3 linked regions of the Oryzias latipes genome follow. The protein of the gene in region 3 purifies or fractionates together with the protein of the main gene of each other region. This does not show direct contact. Links are inferred from orthologs where the notes say so. Each region holds a gene or a part of one and is shown on either strand. Other genes may lie near its edges. The genes, in order: ift88, ift74 and ift81.

Evidence for each region.
Region 1: the proteins of ift81 (region 3) and ift88 fractionate together in Homo sapiens (co-fractionation; 3 studies listed by BioGRID and IntAct, with this or other methods). This does not show direct contact. The link is inferred for Oryzias latipes from reciprocal best matches to the Homo sapiens genes IFT81 and IFT88.
Region 2: the proteins of ift81 (region 3) and ift74 purify together in Homo sapiens (affinity purification with mass spectrometry; 3 studies listed by BioGRID and IntAct, counting the BioPlex papers as one, with this or other methods). This does not show direct contact. The link is inferred for Oryzias latipes from reciprocal best matches to the Homo sapiens genes IFT81 and IFT74.

The regions. Positions count from the first base shown.
Region 1 is NC_019879.2:11,372,667-11,375,736, forward strand, and holds the end of ift88 (intraflagellar transport protein 88 homolog), read right to left. Parts: intron 1,387-3,070; coding exon 1,268-1,386; coding exon of another isoform or gene 1,246-1,267; 3' UTR 557-1,245; downstream 1-556. UniProt on the Homo sapiens protein: Positively regulates primary cilium biogenesis. Also involved in autophagy since it is required for trafficking of ATG16L and the expansion of the autophagic compartment.
Region 2 is NC_019878.2:5,897,433-5,901,608, forward strand, and holds the start of ift74 (intraflagellar transport protein 74 homolog), read left to right. Parts: upstream 1-1,276; 5' UTR 1,277-1,433; intron 1,434-1,706; exon of another isoform or gene 1,707-1,708; 5' UTR 1,709-1,715; coding exon 1,716-1,844; intron 1,845-1,933; coding exon 1,934-2,069; intron 2,070-3,666; coding exon 3,667-3,715; intron 3,716-3,910; coding exon 3,911-4,009; intron 4,010-4,115; coding exon 4,116-4,176. UniProt on the Homo sapiens protein: Component of the intraflagellar transport (IFT) complex B: together with IFT81, forms a tubulin-binding module that specifically mediates transport of tubulin within the cilium. Binds beta-tubulin via its basic region. Required for ciliogenesis.
Region 3 is NC_019867.2:25,423,824-25,427,478, forward strand, and holds part of ift81 (intraflagellar transport protein 81 homolog), read left to right. Parts: intron 1-171; coding exon 172-256; intron 257-865; coding exon 866-1,029; intron 1,030-1,107; coding exon 1,108-1,203; intron 1,204-2,144; coding exon 2,145-2,285; intron 2,286-3,655. UniProt on the Homo sapiens protein: Component of the intraflagellar transport (IFT) complex B: together with IFT74, forms a tubulin-binding module that specifically mediates transport of tubulin within the cilium. Binds tubulin via its CH (calponin-homology)-like region.

The sequences.
Region 1 (3,070 bases), on a different chromosome or scaffold from region 3:
CTGGTATAGGATTAACCCAGGAACTATGACAGAAAAACCCATTCCATTTCATTTCCCCTCTCCGGAAATCTGTGCGTAAAATCCTTTGGGAGACGTTTGGATGCAACTGCGTGGCGCCAGAAATCTAAATCAAACCAAAGCACTGACAGATCAAGTCCCGTTCTGAGGCTTAGAGCCACGGAGACAAAAAGAGGAAAGTTTTCCCCTGCGTGACTGAGAGCAGCTCCTGACGCGAGTGGGAAGTCCAGACAGTTGGTCGCGCGCCTCCGCTGCTGGACGCCAGATTACTGGAACCCGCCCTGGAAAACCTCTGGAGTTCTGAGGAAACGACGATTTTTTACAGGACCACAGTATCAAACAAACAAAAATACCCCCCCCCCCCCCCAAAAAAAAAAAAAAAAAAAAAAAAAACAACAGAAACTTTTAAACCAAAACCCAAATAATCGAAAACCAATAATCATAATCCAGTTCCAAAATTTCATTTAACAAGTTTTTCAAATCTATGTTGAATATTTGATTTAAAGAAAAGAAGCCCAAAGGATCACACTGATCATGCTTAGGGGAAAATAACAATGTTTTATTTGAACAGTTATACATGTAAATAATCATTTATAAAAGATAATACAAATTTAGTGACCTGGGCTACCTTAGATCCACTAAGACTCCTGGGAAATGTGAAATCCTGTACAAAGAGTGAGGGAACTGACGGTCATGTTGTACACTTATTGTGTGTGTACTCAGCGATTTTCTTGCGAGTAAGAGACTGTGTGAATCTCAGAAACTACTAATAATACATTCTTAAAGATATTCTGGGGTCTTGCGGTGTATGGAGTACAGATGACTTTCCTACTCAGTCAGTCAGTTGGTAGGTCAGCACTTGCTCCCCCTCTACAAGTGATTTACCAGTCGAGTTGATACAGTTATAAAAAACTAGAACAATGATAACATTCATCTTCTTCTTCTGTTTATTCCCTTTCGGGGTCACGGGGCTGCCGGAGCCTATCCCACCGGAGCCTATCCCGGCCACTTGTGGGCAAAGGCAGGGGGCACCCTGGACAGGTCGCCAGTCTGTCACATTATTCAACCCATATAAATAGAGAAAAACCTTTATTTTATTTTGAATTAATCCACAACTTAAGTATAAGAATGCTGCTTCGCACACATCTGGTCTAAAAACACTTGAATGTGTGAATTTCTGAACATATAAACTGGCCTGAAGAGCCTTAAACAATCTGGAAAAGTTCATTACAGAACAGAGCAGATCCATCTACTCTGGCAGAAGGTCGTCTCCAATATCTTCATCAGCGAAGTCTTCTTCCACGACTCTCTTTGCTCCTGTTTTTGGTCTCTCCATAAGAGGCCCCAGCGGGTCCACATAGTATGCATCTACACGCATGTAGAAACAAAAAACAGCTTTAATGGTAACGTTTTTATTTTTTTGTTTGGACATAAGGAGCTACTCTCTAAAGCTACATCTTTTCACCCTCGGCAACACATGTTCAAGAGACCACTTCCATTCAAGAGTCTATGTAAACGTGTGTATCTGCACTATTTGGGCTTCCCCGTTCAAAACTCTCGCACTCATGCGTCGCTATGAGAGTTACTACGACCGTTTTTGGGCTCTATGTTCGAAGGGCGCACCCATTGAACGGGCGTTTAAGGTTAAACTAGTTTGAACTGTGACCAATCAGGGACTCCGATTTGGTAGTGACGGCTTCCATGTTAATTCGTGGAAGTGCCAACCGTTTGAAAACTGATGATAGAGAAGAAATTAATCATTTCTGAGGATGTTTTTCAGGACATTGAACCATTCTCAAACCAGAACAATGGCATGTAGATGTTTGTTCAAAAAAACATCCCATAACATTAGTTTAAAGACCTACTTTATTGAAAATGGTGTTTTTAAAATGGTGCTTTGTGGCCTTTTCTGATGATAGAGGACATATAAAAAGAAAATTAAGATGAAAGTTGCATTTATGAGTATTTCTTTATTCATATTATTGTAAAACAGGAACAGACGAATATATGCTGTTTGAAAAGTATGGAACCCTCCAGGTGCCAGTGGTTAAAAAAAAAATCTGATAAACCATGCACACGGATTAATCGATTGTGCTCGTACTGTTGCGCAATCATGCGCACGCACATATTGCATGTGCGTGTCTCTGAGCAGAACAGCCAGACTGGTAGCTTCGTGTTTGCAGGCAGGTTAGGGTGCTTTACTACGGTGTTGTAACTCAGGACAACGGTCTCCCGGGAGATTTGTATCTCCAAAAAGATGAGCGGCTTTGGGACGGGCGGAGGCGGCTTTTGAATGAACAGTCCTGAGAAACTGTGCAAACAATCATGTGAATTTGTGTTACCAGTCAGGTCCAGACAAAATAAAGGATGATGGTTATTCCAGTTTAAGTTCATCCACGGCTAAATGTTGTTAGTATGTATTAACCTCATCTATCTATCTATCTATCTATCTATCTATCTATCTATCCATCCATCCATCTATAAAGTCCCGTTTAGAAGATCATCTCGCTATATGTCGGAACTTTGTTTACAACGGAACTGGCGATATCTTCTTCTATGGTCGTACCTTAATTTATCCAGAGCAATCACTATCTTACACGTTATCGGACCAACGTACAGCCAATCAAAAAATGTGACGTCATAATTAGTCGCAGGCCCCTGTGGCCTGCGACTAATTATGACTTCATAGTTTTTTTTTATCTGTGCCGGCCGGTGCCTTTTTTTTTGGCTGAACTGACCCGGAAAGAGGATTAGGATTAGGTTAATATGTGCTAACAACATCTACCGGTAGCTGTGGATGAACTTTAACTGGAATAACCATCAGCCTTTAGTTTGTCTGGATCTGACTGGTATCATGATTGTTTACACGGTTTCTCAGGACAGTTCATTCAAAAGCCTTAACCTCTGTGCTATCATAGGCACTTTGACATTGGGAGTTGGGTCATCTAGACCCACTAGACAGTGCGCTGAACTTTTTTCTTCAATGATTTGTGATTTTCAATGGTTTCCATGGATTACATGAAATCTTTCCACCTTTATCCACCTTTGTCAT
Region 2 (4,176 bases), on a different chromosome or scaffold from region 3:
TCCTCTTTTTTGGATTGGGCTAAAGTGTTTATTGTGATTACTTGTTAATTAGTGATGTGATTATTAAACATGAAATAAATTGGACCTTAAACTCACTTTTATGACTCTTTCCTGTGTTATATAAAATAGTCAGAAATATTAAATGATTTTTGTATTTTTGTATTTGTGCTTTTTATAAAGTGTTATTTTGCCATTTGAGCATGTCTATGGTTAAATTTATAAAATATCTATTTGTTTTGCACAAAACTCTTTTTTGTTGTTGATTGATTTGAAAATCAGTTCTAAAGATCATGTGTATCAGAATAGGCTGACAGGTTAAGTTTGTATTTAATTAAACTACTCCTAAAGCTACAGAAATTGATCGTTGTAGAAAAGCAACATGTTTGACATAACAAAAAAATGACCAACTACTGACATAGGCATGATAATCTCAGAAGATTTAAAAAACAAAAGATGAAGCACCGATGAATTTCAAAGTAATGGCACTGTGTCAAAGAAATATAATATTTTTCTAAGCCAGAGTGCTGCAATCTGAGGCTTCGCAGCCTCGTGCAGTTCTTTTATCCCTCCATTATTGCTCTTTGGCTTTAAAGAAAAATGCAGCAATTTGAAAAAATAATGGGTTAGTGGTTTTTGTTGATATGGTTTAGTTAATTAAGTTTGTCATTTGTTTAGATCTTTAACATGTCAGATAACTGAGGGGGGGGGGGGGAGATGGCTTATTAGTAAAATAAGCAAAAGCTCATATTCATATATTCTTCCGATGCTGCTGGTTGGTGTTCAAAGCCTAAATCGTTACGGCATAGAATTGCATTTACATGCATAGATAATTAAAAAAAAAGATTCTAAGCTGATTTTTTCACGTTTATATTTGATAGTAATACAAGTAAAAAGATGAAGGAACTACGTAATCACACTGATAGAAATGTTCTGTTTGGCTTTCTTGTTTTAATTGTTTTAATTCAATACAATTTTTAAATTCAAGTAAATCTGCTGCAACAGGAGAACCTTATTTGACACGGGGTATTTTATTTTGAAAGGAATGTGGATATGCAGCTCTCAAAAGTAAATTCATTTTCAATTGTTATTTTTTGAAACACGTAACACTTTCATAATTCAATTGTTATAAATGTTTAAAAGTTATGTTTAATAAATGAATAGTTAAGTGTCCATATAAATATAAACAATATTTTTCTGAGAGAAGAAGCACCAGGAAAATGGTTCTGATAATTGCACAGCCTGTATTGGCAGGCAGAGGGCAGCAGTCCCGTCTCAAAATGCACAAAAACTAGTAGAAGAAGATGGTTACTGGGGTAACGACGACGTTATCCTCGGCCTCTCGTTGCTAATGTTTTTATTGTGGGTTTATTTTTCTCTTTTTGATTAATCTTCTGCATAAGAAGAGCGGGACATTTAGAAGAGACACTAAAAAGGTACGAAAGATGACATGTAGCAGTAAGCTAACGAAAGAGCAGTTAGCTAAAAAAATTGTTTGGTAATCTAAACACAACTCTATTAGAGTTGTTCAGTCTTTGTAATATTATACGGAATGACGTTTGCTTAGAATTACGTTAAAAGTCAGACCTTTGTTTCTCCTAAGCATCGATAAAACGAGGTTCTAGGTGCAGAGAACTTTGTAGTGTCGAATTGGGTCGCGTCACGCCAGGCGGAAGGTGCTCTTAAAAAGTCACACGTCTGTCTGTTTCAGTCTCATAATGACGAGCCAGCGGCCTCCATCCAGCATGGGGAGGCCCCCCAGCCGCAGTGGATCAGCGGCCCCTGGTGCTGGAAGACCCCCAACGGCTGTTCGACCCCCTCCTACAGCTATTCGGGTCCCCACTGCAGTAAGGCATTCATGCAGCTCACATCCCATAATACACCCTGTTAAAAATACTTAACTTTCATTATGCTTTTCAACCTTTGACACACTCAGATGGTTCCTGGTACAAGCGGTTACCCTGGCATGAGGGGGGGCATCCCCTCCCCAGGGGTTCTGGCTGCACCCATCAAAGTGACAGACAGACCAGTCACCCAGCAGGGGCTCAGCGGGATGAAAACTGGCATCAAAGGTATTCCTGATGGTGGGAATCCCTGCATGTTAAGCAAATCTGTTCTTTCCAGCAGTGTGCAACGGAGGAAATAAGTATTTGATCCCCTAGTAACTATTAAGAATTCAGGTACACATGGACCAATTAGACCCTCCTAACCAACCTTAATTAAAGACACTTTATTTGAACTGATCGCATGTAGAATAGATACTTTTCCACAGAATCAGTCCATCAGTCAGACTCCAAAATCTCCAACATGGGAAAGACTAAAGAGCCTTTAGTGGATTTAAGGAAGATTGTAGGCCTGCACACGGATTGGACTACAAAACCATCAGCAAGAAGCTGGATGTTAAGGGACTCTTGCTGCCAAAATACAAGAATGTGACCATCAATCCACCTTTTAGGTCTGAGACTCCAAACCAGATCTGAGCTGGTGGGATTTTCATGATCATTAGAGCAGTGAGAAATCGGCCTAAAATGACACGGCAGGAGTTAGTTGATTATCTCAAAGCAGCTGGAACCACAGTTACCAAGAATATCATTATATATATAGTATACTTGATGGTTTAACATCTTGCAGAGCTTGAAAAGTCCTGTTTAAGAAGACACGTGTGCAGACCCACCTGAAGTTTGTCAATGAACACCTTCATGAATTAGAGCAGGGGTGTCAAACTCATTTTCACCGAGGGCCACATCAGCAAAGTGGTTGTCCTCAAAGGGCCAGATATAACTTATACATGTAACTAAATGTAATGAAAACAAATGTAGCTACTACTTAATGTTAAATAACTCATTATTTATTTACTATAACTTTTTAAAGAAACAATTACAGTTGTATAGAAAACATATGTTTGCTTGTAACTCTAGCATAAATCCATTCAAATTTGATTCTGTCAGGCTAGGTTATATAGTGTTTAAGTCCCAATATATAGTAGCCCAATCCGATATTTCAAGTCAGATTCCCCTAGATATGAATAAATACACACTAATTTTTATTTTTTTATTTTACGAAATGAAAAACTTTTATGCTCTCGCGGGCCATATAAAATGACATGGAGGGCCCCCGGGCCTTGAGTTTGACACCTGTGATTTAGAGAGAAACTTGGAGAAAGGGTGCGGTGGTCGGATGAGACCAACATGGAGCCCTTTGGTATCAACTCAACCTGTCATGTTTGGAGCAGGAGCAGGTGCACCAGTTCTAAGTCAGCTGCTAGGTGCCAGTAGGTCTAAAATTGGTGGTGGATGGATCTTCAAACATGATCATGATCCAAAACAAACAGCCAAAACAACCAAGGAATGACTGAAGAAGAAGAAAAAGAAAAGTGGAATATAATTCCTTCTGATATGTGTAGAAACCTGATCAACAACTACAAGAAACCTCTGACCTCTGTGCTGCTTATAAGAGTTTTGACGAGTTTTTGAAGTATTAAGTGTTTCTGGCAAGAGGGTTTAAATACTTATTTCCCAGACTGTCCATTTTATTTAAGTGGGAAAATCTACAAAATCAGCAAGCTTATTAATACAAATAAAACAAGTACAAATACTTATTTCCTCCCCTGTTTGTTTACATCCAACAGAGGACAGTTTGTCTTCACCTATTCTGTTTTCCTCACTGCAGGACCTCAGAGACAGGTTCTGGACAAATCCTACTACCTGGGCCTCCTCAGGTGAGGAACACCGATTATCTTTAGGGACATTTTTGTTGCACTAAAATATATTTAATACCTGAATGTGTTATTCAGTGCTATGAGGATTTCCAACAATACGAAAGCTGTTTTAAAAGCAGATTGATCAATAAACGATCATGTATAAAATGTAGAACATGTGAAAAAAGTGGTTAATTCTGTTGTTTTTACTGTTAGGAGTAAGATCAACGAGCTGACCACTGAGACCAGCAAGCTCCACAAAGAAATTGATAACTACAACCAGGAGAACTCTGTGTACCTATGCTATGAGAAGAGGTGGGTGGTGGTTCCACTAGTTTGCACTGACATTGTAAGTTGGTTTTTGTTTCCCCAATGCGAATTTCCTTCATAGATAAACTGGTTGGATATGTGTTTGAAACAGAGCTGAAGATCTGGCTGCGGAGATTAAGGACCTGCAGGGCCAGCTTGCTGACCACAACATG
Region 3 (3,655 bases):
GAACATTACTTTTATAATTTACATGTCTGCAAAAATCTTGTGTTTTTCCTAAAAATCTATCAAATTAAGCACATGATGAAGAATCTAAAAGACGTCAAAAGCTACAACACTTGACTTTTGTATGTTTAACTTCCTAAAATAGCAATACTTGTCATTGTTGTGTGTGCTCAGCTGTTTCAGGCAGAGCAGAGAGTGCTGAGGTCCCAGCAGCAGCTGAAGGATATGCGCCAATCGGCCACAGATGCAAATCCAGAGAGTGAGTGTCCCGGTCCTTTGAAGGACATGAAAATTCATGGAAACCACACACAGCAGTCTTTGCTTACATGCTTAACTTGTTGATATACTAATTATATTGATCTCTGATTTAGTGTAATGAAGCTTATGTGGGTTTGAAATATCCTGCTTAGGTTTTCTCTGGGTGTTGGGCTCCTAAGCCTAAATGAGATTTACAAATTAGAGATTTCTAAAATGATCTGTGCTGTCCAGATGAATGAAAAGCTGCACTATTAGAGGAGACTCACTGCTTTCTCTGTTGACATAACTTTCTAATATGTGAATAAAATGCTTATGCCATCATTTGAGTCAAGTACATATACGTTAGAAATATGTATTTTTGATCCTTTTCCCTTTGTAACGGCCTTCCTCTCTGGTGTTTTGCCACCATTGCAAAGTATTCTGCCCCCCTCTTGCCCCCTCCCATACAATGTTTTAGCCCCGTTCACATCAGTTTTATTTATCAAAAATATTTTGCATCTTCTTCCACTAAAGGTTTAACAGCCTTAATGAAGCCAAAAATCTGTTTGTGTTAAAAAAAATAAAGCAAATGCATCAAACCTGAAGCTTAACAAAAAACTGTCTTTGTCAGGCCTAACCAGAAGACTTGAAGAGGAGATCAAGATCAACACTTACATGGTCACTGAGAAACTTCCCAAAGAGCTGGAGAGTTTGAGGCGCACCGTGCAGTACCTGCAGAAAGTGGCATCAGAGCCTGCAATGGGCCAGGCCAACATCCGGGAGCTGGAGGACAGGGTAAAGAGTCGAACATGGCGGGATGCTGGGTTCCTTCATGCCGCCCACGGTTCTGATTGTTGACTTACGCTCCCACAGATCAAAGACGTGGACTCTCAGATTAACCTGCTGATTGAGAAGAAGATGTTGAGGAATGACCCCATAGATGACAAACTGACCCTTTACAGACAACAGGTGCTGACCCGGTTGCATGTTGTGATGGTCTTTCACCTCTTTATCAGTTTTGCATCAAATGAGCGGCAGCCTGTGAGTTATGACTCCCAGTGGCCACAGTCACACAGGATTAGAAATCCCGGTTTGGTTTGGCTTAGTTCAGGCATGTCCAAAGTCCGGCCCGTGGGCCAAATGGAGCTCATGTTCATATTTCTACCAGCCCGCAGGCTCTTGTCATAAAAAACAAAAATAATATGCAACTCCTAACACTTTCTAAGAATCGTGTGTACAATTTCTTGGTTGTGATTGGCTAAATTATGATATAAGCCGTCGTAAACCTGCGACAACAACCTGTGGGTGCTTGACCTTCTGAGCCATGAGGGCCAAATGAAAGGACCAGGTTGGCTTCTGTGATCAAAACCGCAATGGTTTGTACTTCTTGTACTTGTACTTACTTATGTGAAGAAATGGAAAGTATCCTGTTGCAAAAGACTTTTCATTAAATAGGTTATTTAAGTCATTTAATGTTATAATTGGGGTTCAAAGAATGCAGGCCGATTGTTGGCCCTCACACTTTTTCACTGCACCAAATTGGTCCTCTTTACAAAAAGACACCACTGTAATAGTTTATACAATTAACTATTTTTATCCATTTATTCTTCCTGCATTATTTTTTATTATTAAATATAAATATTCTTCTATATTAGTTTTTATCTGCAATCTTTGTTCTTGTAACAGGCAGGAAATTTCATACAAGAAACATAATTAAATTCATAATAATATCATTTTTCTAATTTATATAAAATGATAACTGAGGGGTTTTTTTGGGTTGAAAGTTTGTGCTCAGTTTTTAGTTTATTTTTTTCTGCTGCTGTGCACTTCTTTTCATGATGTCTCAAAAGAAAACTCAAACTAACTTCCTCTTTCATTGCTGCATATCTAATACAACATGAACGTTTCAGGCCTCCATTATCAGCCGAAAGAAGGAGTCAAAGGCAGAGGAGCTCCAGGAAGCGAGGGAGGCGCTGGCCACAGCAGAGAAGGAGATGAAACAGAGGCACAGCCAGTCGTCACCAGAGGAGGAGGTCATTCGAGGCGACGAGGTACAGAGTTGGTTTGCCGCTACCACAAAACAAAGCTGTTGGGTTTTTTCAGTCTTCCTTTAGGCTCTCGTCATCTGCAGCCTCGTACCAGTGCGCTCTAGAAGATAAGCGACCTACAGAATCCTCAAGAGGCTATTTCTGTTCTTATCCAAACACAGACACACTCACTGTATAATGTTTCTTACCCCTTTACCCCACTCTCCCCCACCTTCCCATGAAAGCCAGGAATAGAACACAAAAGAAAGAATATCCAGAGCAAGGAGCTGTTCTGAACAAACTTCCTGAAAGCAGTCTCTTTCTTTAATGTCTTTAATGTAATCCATCTTCCAATACAGGTCAGCTGGTCATGTTAGGTCACACACATGTCTTCGATTTGATTTAGTCAGGAGGATGCACTCTTCATATCTGCCACAGGCTCCTCTGCGGGAGTAAAGCCCTCATGTCACACAGAAATGTTGTAAGCCTTGCACATTTGTTGCACTTCCATTGCGTTTACAGCACCAAACAGTCATGTGTTAGTAGCGGTTCGTGGATTAGAAGTGGTGGAGCAGGTGTCTCAGCATCAGTCTGGTCCGAGCAGAACAAAAGAGCCCAAAATACAGACAAACAAAACTAAAAACGTGATGTTTGCAAAGAAATCCAAACTTAATATTACCGATTCTGGTGAGACATACACGAAGTGCAAGACAAATGAAAAGATCATTTCCAGTGTGTTTATGGTCCACAGGAAGAGAAGAGAAGAATCATTTGAGCCATTCACTCTGGGAGAAGCTTTAAAAATGTGACAGGAAGGAATTTAACGAGATGTTGTGGAAGATGTGGTTCTTATCTCAGGCAGAAGCAATACCACGCAAACTCAAATGGTTGATTGCCGTCCATGTTTCGCAGATCCCCTTGTGTATGACCGTTAACCTGAGGCTCTTAAAGTACAACAGGAAGTTGTTTGTAGGCGCAAAGAGGCTCTTGAGTCTTTACATGAATGAATATAGTGGAAAATGTTTTGTTGAACTGGGCTTATCAGTCTCTTGGGTAGTTTTGAGACATCAGCCGTGGTGGAGATGATCGCTTTATCTGAGGTATTTTCCATTGTGTGTCATCACATGCCAACCGACAGCTGCCTGATCTCTCTAGGGGTCGTGACCACGGCTGCTCGTCATTGGCTGACCAGCAGCAGGAAGCCGTTTGATCATCATCTGGTTAAATTTAGTTTAGACACCAATGGGGGATTTAAGTCGCTTTTTGAATTAGTTGGGGAGGGCTCTTAAATTGCCCCCATGTTTTTGACATGTGAGGGCATTCGCTGCCCCTCTTTGACTCTTTCAGATGTGTGAACGCCCTGTGTGACTGCACACCGAGCTGCAGTCACGTTT